Oreochromis niloticus: one gene and its partners. The protein of the gene in region 1 purifies or fractionates together with the protein of each later gene. This does not show direct contact. Links are inferred from orthologs where the notes say so. Each region holds a gene or a part of one and is shown on either strand. Other genes may lie near its edges.

What was found.
Region 2: the proteins of blnk (region 1) and syk purify together in Homo sapiens (affinity purification with western blotting; 3 studies listed by BioGRID and IntAct, with this or other methods). This does not show direct contact. The link is inferred for Oreochromis niloticus from reciprocal best matches to the Homo sapiens genes BLNK and SYK.
Region 3: the proteins of blnk (region 1) and btk purify together in Homo sapiens (affinity purification with western blotting; 5 studies listed by BioGRID and IntAct, with this or other methods). This does not show direct contact. The link is inferred for Oreochromis niloticus from reciprocal best matches to the Homo sapiens genes BLNK and BTK.

What each region holds. Positions count from the first base shown.
Region 1 is NC_031978.2:26,391,150-26,399,386, reverse strand, and holds the start of blnk (B-cell linker protein), read left to right. Parts: upstream 1-4,751; 5' UTR 4,752-4,847; coding exon 4,848-4,916; intron 4,917-5,144; coding exon 5,145-5,207; intron 5,208-8,237. Other genes in the region: dntt (DNA nucleotidylexotransferase), read right to left, coding at 1,442-1,635. UniProt on the Homo sapiens protein: Functions as a central linker protein, downstream of the B-cell receptor (BCR), bridging the SYK kinase to a multitude of signaling pathways and regulating biological outcomes of B-cell function and development.
Region 2 is NC_031972.2:7,913,255-7,921,184, forward strand, and holds the start of syk (tyrosine-protein kinase SYK), read left to right. Parts: upstream 1-4,856; 5' UTR 4,857-5,060; intron 5,061-5,609; 5' UTR 5,610-5,681; intron 5,682-7,930. Other genes in the region: chd1 (chromodomain-helicase-DNA-binding protein 1), read right to left, coding at 1-36, 2,205-2,257. UniProt on the Homo sapiens protein: Non-receptor tyrosine kinase which mediates signal transduction downstream of a variety of transmembrane receptors including classical immunoreceptors like the B-cell receptor (BCR).
Region 3 is NC_031966.2:17,466,720-17,474,810, reverse strand, and holds the start of btk (tyrosine-protein kinase BTK), read left to right. Parts: upstream 1-5,017; 5' UTR 5,018-5,148; intron 5,149-6,711; 5' UTR 6,712-6,789; intron 6,790-7,714; 5' UTR 7,715-7,766; intron 7,767-8,011; exon of another isoform or gene 8,012-8,016; 5' UTR 8,017-8,034; coding exon 8,035-8,091. Other genes in the region: rpl36a (large ribosomal subunit protein eL42), read right to left, coding at 151-171, 1,804-1,926, 3,135-3,202, 3,831-3,936, 4,520-4,522. UniProt on the Homo sapiens protein: Non-receptor tyrosine kinase indispensable for B lymphocyte development, differentiation and signaling. Binding of antigen to the B-cell antigen receptor (BCR) triggers signaling that ultimately leads to B-cell activation.

The DNA.
Region 1 (8,237 bases):
AACTGCAGCTGATAGCAGTTTTGTCGGCTTGCAGAATTAATGTCAGTTTGAGGCGGGCACGCTCTACTTCCTGTCGTTGGTTTCAAACAATTGTATCAAGCCAAGTGTAACCGTAGGAGCGCTCAAGCTGTGTTTCTGGGAATGCTGCCATGGCCAAGCTGGTGCACGGCTGGCAGGCCCACTTAGACACGCATTTAAACACTCTCTCTCTGTCTCGCGCACAAACACACACAGGCTCTTACGCTGGTTATAGCATACTCATGGGGACCCTTTGCCTAAACCCTGTACATACACCCTACATCATATGCTCAACTTCAACCATTTTCCAACCTTGAGCTAATGTTAACTTAGAAGGAGAAATTGCCCTCACTTTCCATGAAAGCAAAGCAATGAAAAACACAAACAAAAACACCTGCTCACCAGAGGAGCTCAAACTCTGAGCTTAACGCCCAGCACTGAAAACAAAGTCGACATCTAAATAACGGGATGTTGCGTTAACAAAGAAGCCTGACTCTAAAGCATCTCTGGTGTCAAGCGGAGGACTTCTGCTGTGCTCACAGTTTGGGACTTTAAAAAGATACTTTCAATTAGAGGCAGAAAAAACGACGGAGGCACGCTGCGTCTGTAATTACCGCGCAATAGATGAATCATCATCCCAAGGAACAAGCTCACAGAACATCTCTTCTTAAGTGAGACTTAACAAAAAAAAAAAAAACTTTCACCAAACTCATTAAAAAGTTTGCGTGTGCTCTGTTACCTTTCTTCTATTGTTTGTAGTTCTCTGGCTGCCAACAAGCTGCAGCTGGTTTAGCCAATTTCTTCCCCCTGCTTTTAACGTATTTATGTGTGGAGCTGTGAGTAATGGCTCAGGGGGGGGGAAATCCACTAAGGTGAAGAGGAGGCAGGATGGATGCCCTAACCCTTCTTAATTAACTATTCATGAGACAATAGTCGCTCTCTATTTAGCTAATTGGGCCATAGCTTCTAAGAAAAAAAGAAGTTTGCAGAAAAGTGCCAAAAAGTAACTTTGGATGTCTCAGTGTTGAAGTCCAGGCATGTTTTTCCCACTCCGATCAGTCAAAAATTCTGTGCACAGGCAATTATTCCACAAAATTTTAATTGTTTTTTTTTTCAGACTATAATAAAACTTTTTGTAGGCATGGAAAGTATTTAATTTTGAAGTCATAAGCTTGACTGCCAGAAAATGCTTTTGCTGAATGCTTCTAGGGTTAAACTAGAGGCCTCAAAAGTCAACTGCCAGATCAAACCAGTCTGTTTGCTTCCAGGAAATACAAACCCAGAAAATAAAGGTGTACCCACTCCCCTCCTCCCCTTACATTAAAGCTCTTTTCAGCTTCACATTGAGAAAAGCTTTTAGGTGGCAAGCCTTGCTAAGTCTGTGAATGACACAAATGGCAAGCTTTTTTTTTGGTTCCCAAACCTGAGGACGTCTTCCACAATAAAGCCCTTTGACCTGGCCAGCTCGGTCAGAAAGCTTCTCCTGCTGCGGCCCATTTTCCTCTCCACCAGGTACAGCCTGACATCCTCAAACTTCACCCCTTCACGCCTGGGAGCGCTTGCTTCGGCCGGCCTTGACCTCTTCCTCGCGCGAGGCACAATAGGAGCGTGGAACATCTCTGAGATGAGCTCTCCAAAGTATTTCTGCACCTCTAGGAATCGCCGCTTTTGTGAGTTTGTGTCGGTATTGTTGTGCGCCACTTAACTTCCATCCAGGAAAAAAAAAGAAACACCTACTTTGGTAATGGCGCAGTTGTTTTTTTCACTTGTGTCTCTCTCTCTCTCTTTTTTTTTTTAATATTTGGGAGCAGAGTTGGTGAGAGCTGGCAGACAGGAAAAGCCTCTGGCAACAGGTGCTGAGGATTTGGTGTTTACCAAAAACCACCTGCCAAGATCGAGTGATTGAGGATGTGAGCGAGAGAAAAAATAATATTTTTTTTTCTTTTTTTTGAAAAACACTGTGCTGACGTGGTATTACTCATTTCCAGTGAAGTATTTTCAACCAACACACACTTGGAGGAAGTAAACAATTACTAATCCAGTAGCTGCTGCTTCTTCTTCTTCTTCTTCTTAAAAAGCTGCTCATAAAGTTTTCATGGACTTTAAATTCTGCTCCTCTCGACTGCCAGCGAGGCCTCTCGCTCCTGGGAGACGCCTGAATTCTGGTCACCTCACAAACCCCTCACAGCTGTCCTGCCATGTCCAGTTCGTCTCGCCACTCACCGTCTCATTATGTCCGGACCAAGCCTGCACCATCTGCTCTGCCGCTTTAATTAGCTTACTGCCTAAAAATGAGAGCCTTTGTGGGCATTTCCCCGGAGAGCCCGCAAGCTCGTGCACGGCCTTTGCACACACTCAGGTACTGTATACGCAAGCCGTTGATGATTAGGAGCGTTTATCCGGGGAATACGGCTGCATATGGATCGGACAGAAATGCAGACTGAAAAAAGATTTAATCAGCTGAATTCATCTATTCCTTTTGTTTCCCAAGAGGTAATTACAGCATGTCTCCTGTTGTTATGATTCCTGTGCTATGGCGGTCAGGAATGTAAAAGAAAAGGTTTCAGCAGGTCTTTGCTGTAATTATCTGCAATAATGGATCTGCTTCAGTAGACCAAACAGCAATGATTTGTTGATTTAGGCGAGGGTGATGAAATCATTACAGGCCTTTATTCTACATCTAATTACCACAGCCTCTGTTCATTTCGTCACTTTAATAAGCACACCTTGTTTCTGTCTGCTACACAGAAATTATTACACAGATCTCATTACCGCGGAGTTCTGGGGGTTAACGGGTGTCACGGGGCAGACGCCACTAATTGTTTGACTGTTTACCCCCACCCATCCGCCATCCCAATCAGTCAGTTGTATATGAGGGTGCTGGCCCCCATCCAAACGTGAGACCGATGAAATTCTATCACTAAGACGAATGGCTCTCACACTGCCAGCAGCAATCGTTGCACGAGCAATGAATCCAATTTCTCTTCCACCTTTCTTGAGTAGCTCTGTGGGTGCAAGAGAAAATTGTCTGATAATTACAATTATGGTGCATATTCAGTTCCATTTAGAAAGGACAAAGTGACAGTCATATCTTGATTTTTTTTTTTAGTTTATTTCTTTTTTTGTGCCCTGAGGCCATTTACTACAACTTTGAAGATGAAAATAATGACATTTATGTTGTGTATGTTTTAAAATTAGTACAACTTTAAGAGTTGTGTTGGGGTTTTATAGTCTCGTTAGACTATAATAAGTCATTACAAGCACACAAATATTCAAACAACGCATGCTGTGCTCAAAGAAATTTCACGTACAATACTGGAATCAAAAGAAATACAGCCAACCTTTGGCAACTTTTACTTAACAGTAAAGTTTCAAGATACCAGTTTGACATGATGCACTTTGTGGTGACATGTGCATTGTTAGAACCATCAGAAGATGGGTGCATGCATGGACAGCGTATACAGTAATACCCAGGTAGCCTTTGGCCTTTGAACGATGCTCAGTTGACACTAAAGGGTCCAAAGAGTACCAGGAAAATATTCCCCACAACATTGCACTACCACCCTGAGCCCTTGATACAAGGCAGGATGGGATACATGCTCCATTTAGCTTAAAGCTCGTTTTAACTTTGTCCATTTGTTCTTTCTGCTAAGACAACAGTATAGTCAGTTTACCAGAATTTTTTAACTACACTGTTCTGCTGCTCCTAAAAAAATGTTAAAAATGGTTCAAACATACTGAAAAAGCTACACAAGTCTTTAAAAGCTCAAGAGCAGTGCGTATGGAGCTTCCTGGAATGGGTTTTGATGGCCGAGCAGCTGCATCCAAGCCTTATATTACCAAACCCAATGCAAACCGTCAGATGCAGTGGCACAAAGATCGCCACCACTGGAATCTAGAGCAGTGGACAGATGTTCTCTGAAGTGATGAATCACGTATCTCCATCTGGCAATCTGAAGGACGAGTCTGGGTTTGGTGGTCAGCTGTTATAGCTGCAAACCCTATGGTTTAAAAATAGGATGTTACTGAAGTTCATATGCATGTGAAGGCAGATGAACAAATATGGCAATACAGTGTATCATGCAAATAGCAAATATTAGCAGCAGGCTCTATTAAGTTACATTCCACCACTTGTTCTGCCCGTGTCCTCATCTGATATCACTTTGCATTGCAAGAGTAACTGCACTCTAGTCAAATGGCATTGGTAGGATGGCAAGTAGTGATGTCTGACCTGAAAGTATCATTTTAAAAAAATATATATATATATATATGTATATATATATATATATGTGAAAAACGTAATTAGGTTAACTTAAACTTATCAAAGTTTCTAAAAAAAGCTGAATGAAGGAATGCACTCTATATATGGCCATCTTTCCTCAGAGAATAATGCAACCTAAAGAGCCTCATGAGTGAAATACGATCACCCCCTGAAATCAAAATAAACGCAGAGTGGATTACATCCTTTAACCATAAATGAAGCAGGCATGAGCTAGGATGTAAAAATTAAGTCCCACTGTTATGAAACTTTTGTTTCAGAAGTATTTATATAGAACGAGGAAGTCCCCGCTTCCCTATTTGTTAATGGCTCATTGTATTCTATGGGACAATTTTAAAATTTTAAGAAGACATGAATTGCCACACCACTTATGGGTTAAGAGAGAGAGAGAGAGAGAGACGGGAAACGTGTGTTGGTTATAATGAGGTGACCTCTCTGTGTGTACTTCTCCCTGCTGAAGCTGCGCTAGAGCCACAGTGCGTGACGGGTCAGTCTATTACTGTACTTCCAAAAGCACACTCGTGCTCAGAGGTTCCCTGTAGAGTCCGAAATGAACCTGCCGTCCAGAGAGGAGTGCGAGGGGTGGGACCAGGCAAAAGTAGCCTCCTTACTGTATAAGGTGAGTCCACTGGAAATGGGAGAGATGCTTGTGTTTTGTCATAGTTTAAATATTCACCACTTCATTCTGAGGGTCATGTATAATGTTAATGTTAATGCAAATTAGCAGCTAAAGTGTTAAAGTAAGACCAGGACATTAGATGACTGGAAGTTAAATGTTTGGTTGTTTCAATAAGTGTGTGTAATTAGCAATTTAAAAGTAGTGAATGGATATGTTTCCTCTCCTCAGAATAATATGCAAGAATGCGCCGTCACCGTAAACAGACTGAAAATTAATGGACAGAGATTTCTGGTGAGTCTTTCCTCATTTGTACCTGAATAATCCAGAAATGGCTCTTTCTCCCACGCAGTTACATAATCTACTAATCCACCCAGGATCATATCAGGGTTGTGGTTGTGTTCAGTTTGTTATTCTAATTAAAATGGTCAAATCCTGACGAGCAGTTGTTATTATTGTGATTATGACATTAACAGCAGCAGAATAATTACATTTCCTCGAGCTGTTTGTGCCATTTTGCTAGAAAACACACACACACACAAAGAATCAGTTGAGGCTGGTTTATTTGTAAAACTCTCACTCTCTCTGTTACTCTGGCAGACATTTTTTTATTATTTTCTTGTTAAAATGTCACTGCTTGACTTGACTGACGAACACACTTTTACTATGAATCTAAAAGCACGCTTCAAGTTGACAAACAGGAGAGTTCACAGGATACGAAACATGACTAAAGCCGGTTGCGTTACTTTCCACACTTGCTCTTTGTGTAAACTGTGGCCCTGCTAATGTGGAAGTCTGTGTATCTGTTGTAACTTCTGCTTTGGTTTCACCCTCGCTGCTCTGTCTCCATCATCCACACCGTGTGTACAGTCTCTGAGGCCTTTCTCATAGTTACCGAGAAGCAGGCTGCCAAAATGAGCGCAGCTGAGTGCCCCTGTTCGGGAGAGAGTAAGGAGTGTGAAATGAGTCTCATGGCTAATAAAGCTGTAATCCCCACTTACTTAAGTAAGTATCTCTAAATCTGCTTCAGTCATGAGGGGGAACGCTGTTTAAAGAGGATTTTATGCAGCAAATAACTGAAGTGAGGGTTTATAACTCCCTAATATTTGGTGTTTTGGGGATCTTTATAATACTTCAGTAAAAACCTCCCACACACTGGCAAGCCTGAAGAAGCTTTCATTCATATGCATCTTTTAAGTGGACGCTTATGCACACTTCTTGCCACGCTCTAAATTAGAGCAGCGGCCTAGTCGCCTATTCATTATTCAATGACCCTGAGCTAACTCCACTTTAGGTGGGATATTGCATCACTGAAGTGTTTGGCCTGCATAGTTAAAAAAAAAAAAAGATGCGGATTTTTATCAGTCAAATTGATTAATACTTCAGAGCAGAGGCTTTGATGTGCACATTAACAGCACCGATCTGAAATATACATATACATACAGTATGTGTATCGATTGATGGATCTCCTTAGCTACGGATCCAGCCAGTGCACGCTTAAGTAAACCCATGCTTTTATTGAATGGCTGCCCAGCTTTTTAGTTTAACTAGCTTCAAGGTTGCGGTGTCTGACAGACATTCCCCAGTCAAACTTTTAAGCTTTTTTTTTGGTCTAGTTGATTATTTTTTTTTATTCAGTATTTTTACTGCAGCAAAGGATTTTGATCTATAACCTAAAATCCCCAACCAGCTTCTCGATGGATCGCTTTTGGATGAAATTTCCTTCTGCTGTTCGGCGTCCTCAGAGGCTGAATCATGCTGACTTTTGCAAACCTCTAACTTTTTCTCCAGTGCCGCAAGAGGAGGTTGACATTTGTGGTTCAGAGCAAAGTAGCTCAGCAACAACTGGGTGCACGGGCATGAAATTTGCAGCAAATATTCTGTGTCAATAGAGGACTTTGTTTTGCTCTTGACTTTATAATTTGCTCAAACAGGCAGGCTGGCATTTTTAACTATTATGTAGCATATGTAAGCAATTTGCACAAATAATAGACTGTATATAATGCAAAATGTTATATAATCTGCTATTTTAAGCTCTATAGTACAGATATTTGTGGTTTGATTACCTTCCGGTTGTTCCTCCAATCAAATGCTCCCATCAGTATCAGCTTGTTAGCATTGCTACTGGAATATATTAGCAAGCTGATGTTAGGCTGTTATGACTGTATATAAAATATGGACACCTGCTAGTTTGTGAAGGCTTTAAGCATGTTGGCTGTCACAGTGAAGTGGGATGTGATGAGCAAGAAAACTCTGGGCACTGCTGTCAACCACAAGGTGGCCCCATCCTGAAGCAGTATTGGCTCTACAAGTAGCCATAATTTAGAAAAAGTCCATGATGTAACTGAGAAGATTTCTAACTCACAAGTTATACTACAGCACAGTCAGGAAACTGTTTTCTGGAATGATTAGTGGAATCCTTTTCCTATAGACAACCTGTCTTTGTCATACAACCAGAGAGGTTGCCCCCTACTGGTAATGATAAAGAATGCAGAAGCTTCACCTTTCAGATCTGGAAAGTTACAGAAGAGTTATGACACTAAATGTTCACTGGTGTTTATGAGCATGCTTACAGAAAGTGTATAAAGTTGTCTGTGTTTGACAGAATAACTTCATAGATACATATATTTGGAAAATATCTGAAAAAAGTCTTTACTGTAAAGACATTTGTGTCTTTGAGAAAGGTTTTGTTTGGATTTTCAGTTGACGAATTCCAGCAGATGGTGCTCTGTTACTTTCTCTACTACAAGTGACGCTGCTCATTGCAACTATCCAGTTCCTCTTCTATTTTTGACAAACATCCTGAAATTGCCCCTGGCAGTGTAATGTCACTTCCTTTTATTTTACAAGAGCAACCGTTTTAAAGACTCAGTGGTTGAATCATCAGTGTGCTTCTGAAAAACCGACCCGCCTGCAAATATACGTTTTTGTATTGTTTGAAGGGGCTGTGTTTGCCTGTGTTAACCTAAAATCACATTTGACAACAACTGCAGTGTTGTTAACACTCCAGTGACATCACTGAAAGGACTAATTATTAATAAAAGGAGAATTTTTAAAGGCATTGTTTGCCTCTTCTATGGGTTTTTAAAATCCAGCAAAGAAGAGGAAACATTTGTAATAAGTTATTTTTGACTCATCCGGAGCTCAGCGTGTGTCCAGAAGCAGAGCAGGGCCTGCACTTTGGTATCTGAATGTCATCCAGCGAGCATGCTTCTGCTGAGCATTGCCTTTGGCTTATTTTACATATTCATGTAATGTACAGTGGCTGGAGCAAAGGTCATAAAATCCATTTAAAAAAAGTGAGCAACACAGATCTGAACTGCT
Region 2 (7,930 bases), on another chromosome or scaffold:
GAGCCCGATCCAGAACCGGATTCATCATCAGAATTACTGTTACATATAAAGACATTAGTAATTAATAGATGAATCAAATTCTCAAAGCAAAACATTACAACAGGTTTTACATACTTGAGCAGAAATGACATAACAAAAGTTGGGTTTCCCCATATCAGAAACAGAAATCATTTAAGCCCTTAGAGTCTCAACTGCTCACTCTCCAGCTCCTCTCCTGCTCAGCCTGAAGGTGGAGTTTGACACATCACACATAGGTGTATGGAATCAAAAAGAGGTGCAGCAATGCCTTAAAAAGAATTCTATATTTAATCATTCTTGCTATACCATGAACGCTTTTCAATGCAAATATAAATAAGACTACTTTGTCATAAACAGCAATAATCAACTGCTTCTCCAGTAAATATATCATGTCACAATATGAAGCCAACTGCATCACTCATATCTGCAGCTTTAGAGAGCCATTAGTGACAATAGTCAAGCAGTACAAGAAATCCTGTCTGTGACAGGGAAGGGCATCAGGATTTTATCATTATCAACACAATTTATGAGGGTTGTCACATTATTAGAATTTAAAGTTTGATACCAATACCCAGGAAAGCACACGATTCCATTTCCAGGGCAAAAGTATCATAGCATGCTGCTAAAATGGACACTGAATGTGAATGGGGACAGGACAATGGCCAAGAACACAAAAATGAACTGCCCTGATGGATTCTCATGGTCTTGTCAAAACCACCGGACTTAGACAAAAACTTTTTTTTTGTCAGAATACACAATATAAATAGACAGAATACACAAAGTTTTTTTTTTTTTTTTTTAAAGTGCTACCTTGATTAACTACTATGTTAAACAGGAACTCGGTCAATCCTATGCCCATAGAACGAGAGCTGTGTGGAATTTGTAATGTAATATAATGCAAGTAAGTAAACCTTTTTTATACAGCACCTTTCACGGGTCAAAAACCACAAAATACTTTACAATAAAAACAGGCATGAACAAAAATACAGAAGATTAAAACATAAAACAGCATACAGCCTGAAACTAGTTAAAAGCCAGTCTAAATAAATCAGTCTTCAGCTGCTTCTTAAAAGAATCAACAAAACAGCGCAAACATGCAGGTAAGGCATTCCACAATCCGGGGGCCACAGCTCTAAAGGATTTATCCCCTCTGGTCTTAAAGTGAGTTTGTGGGATCATTAACAGTCTTTGACTGGAAGATCTCAGACTGCAAGAAGAGAAAGGACTAAAACGTTTAAATGAATTCTAAAACGAACCAGTAGCCAACGTAAAGAGATTAAAACTAGAGTAATGTGCAGTCTCTTTCATATGTTGGTTTAAAGCCTAGCAGCAGCACTCTGTACCGACTGGAGACGGTTACGTAAACACATAAACAGACTGTTACACTAGCCAAGACGAGCTGAAATAAAGGCATGAGTACTCATCTTTAATTCAGCTTTTGACACAAGACTTCAAAGCTTAGAAATATTTCTTAGTTGAAAAAACAAAACAGTTTCAGATTAATCCATGAGAATGGCTCTCGAAAGACATGGATAAATCAAAAAAAAAAAAAAAAAAATCACACCAAGGTTTCTGAGTTTGGATGCTGAGGGATGACTTCAAGTGTGGTAGCTTTAACAAGCAATCTATAACCAACAGTTATAGATTAGTATTAGAGAAATGCTACACTGTCTCTATGTAGCTTTAAGTGCTTCACTGTAGATAAAGCTAGCTAGGTTTCAGGTATTCATTTCCCTACTACTTTCTACACTCACATATACAGTATTTTATAAAACTGAATTATAATAAATGTGTAATTGTGTACATATTTTTCAGTTAACAAGTACAAAATAAAAAATGCATAACAAATGATGTAAAAATTTGTATTGGCTACTGAAAAAGGGCCTCCAATGGTGTAGCATTTTACACATTTGCCTGGCAAGCGAAAAATTGCTTTCGATTTGATTGGGGTTGCATCCAGAAAAAACTGTGCCAAATCAAGCATGTGCTGCTACCTTCTGTGGCAACCCCTTGTCACAAGGGAACAACCAAAATTAGATCTCTCCATCACAGACACCATCTGACGGTTGTTAGTATACGGTCAGGTGTATGGTGACAATATAGTATGTAAGGTATGAGATGATGTTCTAAAAAAGTAAACAGCAGGCTGTTATTTCTATTTGTGATAAAAAATAAATAGTCAATACCTGGATTCTCCACTGCTGTTGCTTACACTTTCATCCTCACTGCGTCCAGCCATGCTGAAGTCAAAAATATATAGACTTCAACCTGGCAACCTGTAGTATTATGGTCCACGTGTTTAACCTGTGAGCAAAAATACACGTAAGTTTAAAAAGAACTGTATGCAACAAATACTTGGGGTTATATTATTACTTGTTGAAACCAGAATAATATCAGGAATATAATTTCACAACAACATGCATTAAGATATCTGATTAGGTGGAGCTTGATAAAACTCAGATCCACATGGCAAAGTACAACAGAGCTTAGTGTACCATCCGTGACTGACTACAACCTATGCATCAAAGCTTGTCCTGTGAACCATTCAAGCAGGGACGCAAATATACTTTCGATAAATTAGTTTCAATTGAAACCATTTCAAGTCATCTATCAGGTCTGTGGTTTCATCCTAAGAGAAGTGAACCGCGTCTGCAACACAGATAAACGTCTTGAGATATGACTATTTCAAGTTAAAACTAGAAAAGTCTGATCTGTGTGGATGGCTGTCTGTCATGCTACTTGGCTGAACGTCATTTATCCCACACCGCAGAGGCCTATCAGGCCTGCACTGTACCAGCGTGTTTTCATGTACACATGAAGCTCCGTGTGTACCCCAAGAAGATGAAAAACTAAATAAATCAATAAAAATAAAATCAGAATAAATGGTTTCAGGACACCCTCAAGTCATCACTTGGGTACACTATCACTATGGTTACAGTTTAGCAAGTAGCTCAAGCTAACTAGCTATTACCGGCTAACGATGGCAGTATTAGCGATTGGCGGGCAGGAGTAGCCTATGCAGACATAGCCAGCTATAAAGAACAAATATACAGAATAAGATTCAGCACAAAACCTGTAATCACCTGATTACCTGTAACCACTTCGCTATGTTTATCTAGTTGCAGTTTGCTAGCCGCTTTATGTTGTGCTATTGTTTTCTGGATTTAAAAATCCTACACGTGACAACTGTTAACTTTATACCTTTACGGTATGCACCGCAACCAAGTAGCTCAAACTGTACATGCCTTTGGTACTTTGTTTCATTTTGTGTCAGTGTGGGTGAAATAAACATGAGGAGAGCTGGCTCACAGGCCATCACAAGGGCTGTCAAGGCAAACAGCATTAGCTAACGCTATGAAGCACGAGGCTAGCACAGAAGCTAACAAAATGAGAAAACTTTGCCCTAATAGGAAACCAGTAGAATGATAACTTTAGAGTTACAGATGATACTCAAAGTTAATCGTCAATAATATTTAATTATGTAAATATATGCACAATCAGTGGATTGGGATGAACAGTTATACAAATTTAGTATTCATCATTAAACCCACAAAACCAAATTAGCTAACCAACTTCACCCTCTCCCATCTTGTTTTCATTCGCTGTTCACTTCTCGCGGCTTTTACAACATCAACATGCAACGTTAGCTTACTTTTCGCTAGCGTAAGGACTAAGTAACTCAATGATGTGTGTTACCTGTCGTTAGTTTATGTTACTCGTGAAACTCCGATAAAATATTTGTCTAAACCAGCCTTTCCAGTCCAGGAGTCCTTTCTTCTTTTATTTAACTGGCGAGCTAGCAGCTGCTGGTAGCTAATGCTACCGTAAACTTGCTAGCTATCTCCCGGTTAGGGAGCGCAGCCCGAAAGACTCCGGTCGATAGAACTGGTAGAATGTTGGTTTTCCTCTTCTTAACCAAAGTCCCGTTTGCCGTTTTAGAAGTTACAAAATACAGTGCCCGTTGATAAGCAGCGACTGTAGAAAGCTAGCATTTCAATCCAGTGTCTTTCCACAACCGGCCTCCGCCATGACGCCGTAGGGTTCACTTCTCCAGGAAACCCCGGACAGTGACGTAACGACTCTGCTCCTTACTCCTCCAGTGTAGCAGCAGGAAACGTCGGTTTCTCATAAGTCGTCTTTATCGTTATCTGAACAAATGGAAATAAAGCTAGTCTGACAATTTAGGTCATCGTAACAGCAAGGTTATACATATACAAGGTCGTACACAAAAGTCCGTCTTGTTTACGGAATTACGATAGCCGTCAACCATAGTTTCTGTAGTTTGAAACGTACAACCCTTGCACTTGCCGGTTTGTGGTCTTCTCCAGACCGTATGTGTGTTTAGTCCACTTAACGTGCGTTCTCTGCTTATGGCGAGTGTTCCTTATATATAAGAAATGCATTTTGAAAAACAAGTGCATGATTACAATACAAACTCACACGTACAGTCACCTGGGCTTTCAGAAACAATAGCTATTTAGAATAGAAAGTATTTTAAATAAGCATGCCTGTTTTAGAGTCAGTGACCGCCGCACGCGCGCTATCTGAAAAACTATCCCAAAGCAGCAGAAAATTAAACCCTTATGTAGCAACATCACCACCTGCTGGCGACATTGTCTACTGCATGCTGAATGGACCTCATTTTACTTCTGTAACAAATTTGACATTAAACAGATATGAATTGGTCGATGGTGCATACACTGATAGAAATATGACGGATAGGCCTGTTAAGTCTGACAACAAGATGATCTTCTTCAGGGAATCAGGGGGCATTAGGTCGGCAGAATCACCGCATGTGTTTGTGGGTATGGACCAATAGGAGGTGATCCAGGGATGGCGAAGCTCCGGAAGCTCATATTCTGCATCTGTAAATATTTCAAAGCAGTAAGGATGCTACTGATGAGCTCCGAGGATACCACATTTGTGTCCACAGATCACCATCAAATTTATCCAGCATAGTAATGTTAAAATTATAGGCGACCAAACAGAATAAGAGCAATGGGGTGACTGATGGATAAGATAAACGGAGTGTGCTCCAGAGGGTGAGTATATGACCGCAAATATCGATTCATTTCGCCGCATCTTTGTAACAGCTTCATTTAGATAGAATTTATATGACAGAAATGACATGAGTTGACCTGATGATAATGTCCCAGGACAGGAATTCAACCGTGCAAATGATGCGGATAAAATGTGACACAGAGGCGTGTCCCAAAAGATCACTGGAGTGAACCCTTCTGTTGCAGGGGCAAGCATATTATTCGTTATGTTCTGGCGCACATGTGAGGATATTTTTATGATTAAAAGGCACGGATCACAGTTTAGCTTTAGCAGAACCCACGTTACAAATGCAAAAATGGAGCTTGTGTTTACCAGTAACACAGAAGTGAACTGTGGGCTCCTCCACTGCGCATGATTTGCTGCTTCTCTGTATTCTCTTTCTGTAATCCGTTTATACCACAGTATGACACAGTTGTGTCTTTATGGCCCACTTGGGATTTTTTCTGTTCTGTTGTGTGTGTGTGTGTGTGCGCACGTGTGTGTGTGTGTGCACGTGTGTGTGTGTGTGTGTGTGTGTGTGTATGTTACAGATACAGAAGTAACAAAATAAGGGAAATTTTGTGGAGAATACTGACAAGAGTCATAGTAAGAACACTTGTACGGTAAGAATCATATTGATGTTGATATTGATCATATTGTGGGTACAATTTACATTAATTGTCATTTCTCCATTTTATATGGTCATGTTTCTCCTGTTTTTGCCTTAATTACAAGGGTTTTTTTTTTTTTGCCTTACAGATGTAATAAATTAAGATTCTTTCTTTCACCTTTACAACTGCATGTTCTGGTCTTTGCGATTTAGTTTTATTCTATGGAATTGAAGGTGTGGATCAGTTTTGGATGAGGTGGAGTTAGATTAGGTAAATCAGTTAACACCTATAATTTTTTTAAGTATTTAAAATCAAGTTGTGAGATAGTATAATAAGGTTGGGAATAAATGATCAACACTGCTCTTAAGAAACACTGTTCTTTGATCTGTTTCTGAAGGTAAAATGATTATAAGAAAAAATAATTTGGTAAATAATAATGATCATTTAAATATGCAGCATACAGATGCCTGAACAGAAAAGGGAAGAAGTGTCTTTAAGACATGGTGCAACACACCATTTGAGAATGTTTAATTATAGAAAACATGAACTTGATGGAAACAAAAAGGAGAACATAATTGCAACATGAAATAAGGCAGCTGTACTGCAGTGTGAACATAGGCTGAAGAACTCAATAAGCATTTATGCCATATACAAAGTTAAGCACACCAACTCTTGTACTCGTCCATCACAGTACAGTTTAAAATAATATACAGAAAAGTACACTATAGTACACCATCAGAGGAAACGAGTGGTAGACACTATTGATATTTAAAGCAGAGACCTGCTGCCAGTTAATTTTAAATTTATTTTTATTTTTATCTGACCAACCTGAAGAACATGAGTATGTCACTGTTCAGATGTACCGGTTAAGCATTAGTATTTTAGACAGATATTAAACATTTAAAGGTTTAGGCTGAGCTTTGTTTTTTGGTATTTAGAGATCATATAACCATGATACTGAGTTTTTGTTGAGCATGTTAAGCTAATCGAGTGTGCACTATTACTTTTTCAGTGTAGTGCTAACGTGTATGATGGTTTTTAATCGAAAGAGTATCCATCATTATTCTAGCATATATGAGGTTTCTGCAATGTTGTGATGGTGTGGCTCTCCACAAGGTGGAGCCATATGGTATATAGGTAAATGAAGTCTTCCAGTAGTGATGCTTATGTTAATAGAATTTTGATAATCAAACTTTCAAAATAAAACCTTCCAACTGTTACTAAAATTAAAGGTGGTCAGAATCCATACTAAAGCATGTATGTGTATGTCACTACATTTCAGAAGGTACTGGTGAAGTCACGTTTGTATTACCTGACCGTTTTGAATGGATAAATGCAAGAACTTAAACGTTACTCTTAATATTTAATGTTTAATTTACACCCAGAAGGCAATAATTCAAAGTTAGGTAAAAACAGCTGAGAATGTGAAGTCAGTTCACTTCCTCCACAGTGGTAAGACACATAAGTTTGACATAGTTGCAATTAGGTTACAGTACAAAGACCACTAAATGTAAAATTGACATCATTGGTTGAGATTTTTTTCCATTCCCCTGAGCATCAACTCCAAAGGAACGTTAGCCACCTAACCCTGAAGTTAAAGTTAAATCTGCATGAAACAACTTTAGCTTGAAATGTCAGTGTTACACAATCTCTTTCATGCCTTTCTCTCTTTTACTTTTACTCAGACCCAGTCACAGAGATTACTGCAGTAGGATCAAGTGATTCAGATGATACTCAAATAAAAAAAAGAGTTTTTTCTATACTTGTAACATCACAGTTTTATTTTTAAATAAAATCCTTCTTTATTTGGCTATAACTATCTGAAATGGTAAAAGCAACCCAAAACCAAAATGAGCCTTTTCTTGATGAAAAAAATAATGTCTGCTCATTTTAATCATGACTGGTATTTTTTCAATAACTTCAAAAACACTCTTGAATTTCCTTTGTACTCCATTAGTTAGATACATTCTGATATGTGCTATCAAATTATAAAGAACGAAAGAAAAAAAAGAAGCAGAGATAAAGATCATTATGATAAATAAAGGTACTAAGTACTAAAAGAGTAGTTAGCTCTGTGGTATGATTTTCATGCATAACTGTTTTCAAATCATTTTGGTGACCTCCCAGTTACAGTCTAGTAGAGCATCAAATTTATTCAGAATTTAGTCATGTTTGCAAAGGTTTTTACTGTAATGTACTGTAAAGTTTTCATTGTGTGTAAACCATAACCCATTAACAGTCTGTGATATAACTCTACATAG
Region 3 (8,091 bases), on another chromosome or scaffold:
TACTGAAAGGTTAAATTACCATAAGAGAAAGCTTGAATTTTTTGTACAAGGAAAAAAAGGAAAAAAGGATTAAACTCAAAAACTCAAAAGTATGTTTGGATCCATTTATTGAAAATAGTGACAACTTCATTCATAAGACTGGACCACAGTTTAGAACTGGATGACCTGGCCCTGTAAGAAAACAGAGGGAAAACATTTGTGAGAATGTGCAACTTATATTTGGATTAATTTACATTGGTGATTGCCATGAATTTATAATTAAATTCTGACTTTTGTACTGTAGTTGATTAAGACTAAATAAAACCCAGTATCTTCACATTCATCAGCTTTACCAGCCTGTTGTAAAGTATTGCCACATATGCAGACAGAGTGGATATGACTTAACCTTTGTTCTGTTGATGAGGAAGACAGTAAGCAGCTATTAAATAGAGTAAATGTAAAGTCTGATTAATGAGGTAACCCAACAGATGAATACTGAGTCATGGGGACACAGGAGCCAAAGCACCTTGAGGAAACTGTTGTTGCGATTTGAAACTGAAATAAAAGGTAGCCAATCATGAATTTGAGAATCATGAATTAGAGCTTGTATTGAAGGAAGAAAAAATAATTGATGTTTAAGAAAAAATAAAGAAAAGGAGAAGCTCAACAGCAAACCTTGTAAAAATAAATAAACTATAACTGTATTGACAGTATATATAATGAGATCAACTCATGCATCGTATTTTAACCACCACAATAAATCAACACCCAACCCAGAGTCACCATCTCATCAAAACAAATACAATTTACCACTAACCACAAAAAACAACAAAAAGAAAAACAATCTGTCACTGAAAGCAAAATATGCTCCAGTTAAAATCCACGATGGGCTGCATATTTATCAAGTCCAGCAAACAAACATTTCCTAATGCGATTGTGTTGCTATAGCGTGTGAAATGCACGCAGACGCATTTACTCATGTGGCCATGCCTCTTTCACAACTCAATTTCAAAAGCCGTTTCTCACTAATTACATCGGAAAAGGGTGGGCAGAATCGAGTCGGGACACGGTCAGAGGTGGCCCTTTCCCTCGTCTAACACACAGAGCATGTGTCAGACGCTTTCAAACTACTGGAAAAAACTGTTGGGGGTATTTTTCCCACCTCTTGAAGAGTGTTGCCTAGGCAGAAGCTTCGACAAATATTCTAAAATCCACATTTTTATATGTACATGTGAAAAATTAAACAATTGCCAGAACGAACAATTTTGACAGGAAACGGGATGACTAGAGAGTGAATAGGCTCAAGATAATTACATATCCGATCCAACTGCATCTGGCATTTGCATTCTCGTGCACCTTCTTTGGATATCTAGCAATATCCATCTTTAGCGTGCAAGGCTACAGTGCATGTGTAACAACAGCTTTATACAAACTATTTTTTCTGAACAGGAAATCCATGTTTAGGTGAAAAACCAGCTGATATGCAAATTGTGCATTTTTATCATGCTGTCACCGCGTTACTTCCGTAATTTATCATGATTAACACAACAGATGTCAATATGTCACATGAAAAACTAATAGTGGGTTATAAACATGAGGTTATTAAATTTTAAATGTGTAACAAGATAATTACCTACAAATATGAGAAGTCAGAATATTTTGATAACAGATTTCTGTGGGATGATTCTGACACCAAACTGTAGCTTTAGCAGAGATTAAACCCACTCTGAAAAGTACTACTGAAATAAAGTTAATATAAAGAATATGTTGTAAAGAATAGTGAACTTTAACCTTTACAATACCAGGGACATATGTGAGTCTTACCTTTCTCTTCTTGTCACCACCCAACTCGAAGTGCTTACATCTCTTGATGGCCAGCATTCTCTTGGATCTGCAGTTGGGCTCCACACACTCGAGCCTCAACACAATCTTCTTTGTAGTCTTAGCCTGTGTGACAGTATTTCAGTGAGTGTCATTTCCCCTCACATATCTCAACACAATCAATCCAACAGTACAATGCTGTGAGAAAGTATTTACCCTTTTCATAATCATTTTTTTCCTGTGAACTTGTCACACCTTAGCATTTTAACACTAGATAAAGATAATCTGAGTAGGGCTTGCTGTTGTGCTTTGGATCAGTCCTGCAGCATAACCCGAGGGCACTTACACATAAGGGCACAAACAGACGGCTGGACATTTTTTCTTTAGGATTTTCTGGCAGAGAGCAGAATTCATATTTCCATCAATTAAAGCGGCAAAACAGCCTCTGACCATCACACGTCTGCCACCATGTTCGATTGTTATGTATTTATCAAATGCTGTATGTTTTATGCCAGATGTAACATTATTTACATTTTCCAAAAATTTCAACTCTTTTCTCGGCAGTCCACAGAATATTTCTGTCTTGGAGTTAAGCAAGATGGTTTTTGGGGGGGACAAATGTGAAACCATTTGGTCAGTAATGGTTTGTACCTTTAAACTCTCCCATGGACGCCATTTTTCCCAACTCTCTTCACACTGTTGAACCTTGAACTCTGATCTTAACTGAGGCAAGTGAGGCCTGAAGTTTTTTAGATGTTATTCTGGGATCTTTTGTGACCTCTTTGATGAGCCATAGATGTGCCCTTAAGAGTAATTTGGATAGGCTAGCCACTGCTGAGAAGGTTCGTTACTGTCCCCAAGTTTTCTCCATTTGTGGATCATGGCTCTCTCCACCTTTCCAAAGCCAAAGAAATGCATTGCAACCCTTTTCGCACTAATAACATCAATGTCTTGTTTGTCATCGTTTCTTGACTCCCTTAGATTGTGGCGTGATGTGCTGCTTTTTGATATTTTTAAAAACTTAAAACCTCTACAACACATTGAAGTAAGTGACTTCTTCATATCAACAGATATGGCAGTATTCACGCCTGGGAGAGGCTATTGAAATTTAACTCAACTACCCCAAAAATGTGGCTAATTACACTTAAATCATGATTTCACACAGGGCAAAGTAAAAACTGTGCTTTCTAATTACTTGGGTTATTTTTTTATAATATTAAAAATTAGTATGACGATGATCTCAAACTTTAAAGTGTGACAAAATTAGCAGAAAAATATAAATCTGGAAAAGGACGCACTTTTATTACAGCACTGAATGAGAAAGCGATGATTACCTTTTTTCGGAAAATCGGCTTAGATTGACCACCATACCCACTCTGCTTTCTGTCGTATCTTCTCTTACCTGAAAAACATTTAGAGTTTAGTCAACACATACTTGAACAATTAATAAAATAAAGCAAGGATGCACTGATGCATGGGTTCAAAACAAAAGATTGTAAAATGTCTGCAAATATGGGCCAATTTCCCTTCTGTGACAGGAAAAAGATTGCAGATATATTAAGTGCTAAGACACTAATCTGATTGATTTATCAAAATATGTGACATTATATATATTATATCTTTGCTTATATTAGTAGGTAGATGTAGTAAGCAGAATTTACGGAGTTATATATAAAATAAAGAAATGACCTGTTTTCCAAGAATCCCTATGACTCTTTGTCATATGTACACTTAGCTGTACCCTGTGTTTTACACGTCATCAAGCCAGTCCTTTTTGGCTACCTAAAATATATTTATAGAGATGCTGTTAAATTTGGTGCAATTTGTTCTACACTCTTGCTCAAATCTACTGAAAAATAAACTTGTAACTGCTTGTATTTTGTGACAGGAACGTTCTTTCTGGCTCATAGTGACTTGATATCACTTACAAAAGATGTGTTTGACAGATCACAGGTCAATATTTTATATACAGACACTTTTTTGGCGTTAGACACCAGTGCATCCCTTAAATACAGGACAAACATATTCACCCTGTACATAAAGAGAATCCTTCCCCTTCTTGTACTGGGTAACTTTGTGGGGCTGGTGCTTCTTGCACTTCTTGCAGAAGGTCCTGCGGGTTTTCGGGACGTTCACCTGCACAACACAGAGAATAACATTTGAGCAGACGTGCAGTATACACAAAATACCACAACGCGGACTAACTAGCCACGTCCAACAGGCCCAAGCCATAAAACTCACAACACTTATCAAAAATAAAGCGCACAGCTATAAAGAGTTTTGTTAAATCATTTTCGAAATTGACCTTAATACACAGAAGCACCGAGTTTATCATTTAAACTGTGGCCGGCAGTGTTGGGGCAAGCTAACACGTTAGCATCGCTATTTTAAAGAAAACAGCGTAAACAAGTGATGCTCCAACACTTTTTACAAAGCAAAACACTTTTTGACATAGCTGTTAATTGATTTTAATGTTTAGCTTGTTTTGTTTTTTTCGCTTCTGACAGAAAGGCCGGTTGGAGTAGAAAAACCAAGTGACGTTTCTCCACCAAGATAGCATCCATCAATATCACAACGTTAAATACACCAAAGATGGCCAATACCGCCATCGTTACGCACATCGTGACATTATCAACATAACCGGGTGTATCAAATACAGAAATTGTACTTTAATCGGCAGGATTGAGTTAGATTTGTTTTAGGTGTAATGGTAGCATACCATGGCTGCAACCCGATGCAGAGGGAAAGAGGAAGAAGGAGGCCGGAAGCAGTTCTTAAAGTCGCCGTAGTCGACCTCAGCCGTAGAGAGGTCTGCCCCCTAGCGGCCGGAGATGCAAAGAAGCCAAAACCATAAAAAGACTGCAAACACCCCAAGTTTTAAGGAGAGTGACAGCCATGGAGTCCACAGCATAAACCTGACAAAACTCAGTGCCTCAGTAATATACTAAAACACAAGCTATACGTTTTACTCACAGTGAGTAGGCTTTAATTCCTGCAGAAGTTATCATTTTGAAATATCTTTTAACAACATAATAAGCAGGTGAGAAACTAAGAAATCCCCTCAGGTTACAGTGTAACTATATGTAACAACCAAATATGGCCTCACATTAATGTTTAGCCCGCTTCCACTTATCAACAAAACTGTCCAGAAGGCTGATATGAAAATTAGCAGCAAGAAAAAGGGGAAGTAAGCCCTGTCGATTCCTCTCTGTGGGTGTGTTTTAAGCTTCTTGCATCACAGACCAACACACATTTTATGGAAAGCCAGCTACTGAGGCAAAGGTCCATGCCACTCTTCAAGCCTCAGCATCTGCAGTTGTCTGATGTGTGTCATTTTTCGACATCTGGGTAAGCAGCACTTGTTTCTAAAGGAGGTATTTTTAGTCGCACTTTGTTCACAGAACTATAAATGAGAGAAGCAACCTTTGAGTACACTTCATCTGAAAGGCCGAGGCCAAAAGTAGCATAGATTAGTGCAAGTACTCAACTGAAAACCAATGTAATTTCGTTTGTATGCAAATCCTGTGAAATAACCAATGAAATTATGAGTCCACAAGTGACATTTTCAGCTTAAAGTCTAAAGATTTATAAAGTTTTGAATGTTTTCTGGACATAAATGTACTGTTGTGCGCTGACAGAGTGCTGATAATCCTTTATGTGCATACACTGACATTATTTATCAAAGTGCTTTCTTTGTAGCAGAAAAGTGGTTCAATGTATAGCAAATCACTATCACTAATCAGGTTGTACTTTCACACAGTTACTGACTCTTCATGGCAGATAGCTTGGATTGAACTGTCATAGATTGTATTATCATTTTTAATACTTACATGTGCATCATGGGAAATTCTCGTATTCTGACAAATAGTTCTCACAAGTTACCACAATGTTAAACTTATGTGGTATTTTAATATGCCTGAGTATTCTTTGCGGTTAGAATCAGTCTTGTGACATTACTCACTTTTTTTTCTTTCTTTGTTACGTATGCTCACACAGAGACACACGCAAACACTCATACACAAGTGCGCATTTTATTGCACATAGCACTTATCTACCAGGAAACATCAGGAAACACAGCATCTTTACAGGTTCCTGTTAACATTAGTCTTTCATGATAAGCTTGTGTCTGCTGTGTCATTCACATCAGACATCACGCAGTCAAAACTTGTGCACTTTAGAATAAAAAAACAATAATGCCAATAATGATAATTTATAATGATTTATTTGCTACTTAATTGCCTTTCGCACAGAGGGTGTAGTGACACATTTGGCCTGTTTTAGATTATACAGTCCAGGTCACACACAGAAGAATAAATTACAAACGGAACCTGCAAAAACTGGTAGATTACATGCTTTTCAAATGTCCAAATCATGCACAGCAACATTTAAAAAAGAGATACTGTCAGGTAAGAAGAGGTGCAGGCCACAGGGTTTCTTCTCTCTTCATATTGCAACGCAATACTGATGCAACTTCCCTATGACTTTGTCTGTGTCAGCCACCATGAGTCAACTCCCAGCAGAAAAGGCAAAAAAAAAAAAAAAAATCTCTGAGTAGCCATGATGCATTAGTAGCTGCACAGTTCAGTCAAAAGGCTTCACTTATTTAGAGGCACATATCACGGTTTTGGGCGTGCGCCCTCAGAGTTTATTGACCTTCACTCGAGTTAGTGATGTGAGAAAACACGGGTCGTGTTAAATGAGGAATGAGTAAACAATGTTTCACAGAATAGGGAACACCTCTGTCTGCTCATGAAGGCACAAACAACACCAGCAGGTAGTGTCACTCGAGTGTGAAGAAATGTCAGACTTCGTTAGCAGAGAGCAACAGAAGCTTCTCGTAGTGCTACAGTTACAGTTGAGATGATAGAAGGAAGTTCTCTCTCTCTCTCTCTCTCTCTCTCTCTCTCTAAGCTGAAAATAGGCTGAGTTGAAGTGCGCACACATCTGACAGAAACTGACACACAGTGAGCATTCGGCCGTGTAACGAGGGTGAGTCTGAGAATTTGATAGTTCACATTTGAGCGGTAACCGGTAACAAATAACTTCCCTGCATTGGTGCACTTTTGTTGCACTTTTAGAACAATGTGGTGATGGGAATACCTTGGCTTTTCTTCTGGTCATTTGGTGAGATTTTAGTTTTAGTTCTGCATTGGTCAGAACCAAAGAAGACTTTGCTTCCCAACCTATCATCAACATCAATATCTTTCAGCTTTGTTTCCATCAGTTGTCGTGATTTTCTGCGTGTACCGTCACTGCAACACTATTTATGCTGAATTAAGTTTCAGCTATCTTTATTTCCCCTAAAATATCAGGCTGTTAATGTTGCTATGTTACTAATTTCCACAAAGAGAAATTATTGTATGCTCCCCTTCACTCAGATTCTATCAATGTGTCTTGTTTTGGAGGTGCAAGTTTCATTTCAGCGCTGGTGGTTAGGAGGTGCTGCAAACAAGACACACTACACTGCCATAAAGCAAAAAGAGAGCCTTTTTCATTTGCCTACTTATCTTATGTGCGTGGTAAAATGTAGAAATGTGCCCGAGGGGAAGGAAGCCTTCTGATAGTAAGAGTGATATATTACATGATATGTTTGCCAGCAAACAAATTTTATTTAGAAATAAAATGGATCATGTCTAGACTGTATAGTTATATAAAATGAAAGAACTATACTACTGTATTGAGCCAGGTTTCTGGATCAACAAATCAGGCACTTGATATTCATTCCAAAGGCAAAGACGAGTTAAATACTGTATCCAGATGACCAGGATGTAACAGCTAAGAGAAACAGATGTGCCACAGAGGCAAATGTTGGAAACCGAGGATGTTGCTGTCAGGAAAAGCAGGGCTTATGCAAACTACACCTAATCACACAATGATATGCGCTAACACTGCATGCCTGTTCATCTCTTTCCAGATCTCCACTCTCACCTGTTGTAGTGGCACTGCTCCAACTCTATGAACAGTGGGTAGGTATTACATTCTTTAAAACGCTTTTCAAAGGAAATGAAAACACTGAATAAGTGTAAAGTTCAGCAAAACATGAGGCTTTATTATAATGCTGAGCACAGTCACAATGGGTGAGCCAGTCACAGCTCTCAGCAGAATTACGGATGCTGTTATAGTCGGGGTGAGAACATGCTGTTTAGTGGAGAAGCCCTGTGTTACGCCATGATTAGTCTTTTTAAACGTATCCATTTGTCACTTGTTCCAGTGTAGCTGAATCCTGATTGAATCATGTCAGACTCTATACTGGAACAAGTCTTCATTAAAAGATCTCAACAGAAGAAGAAG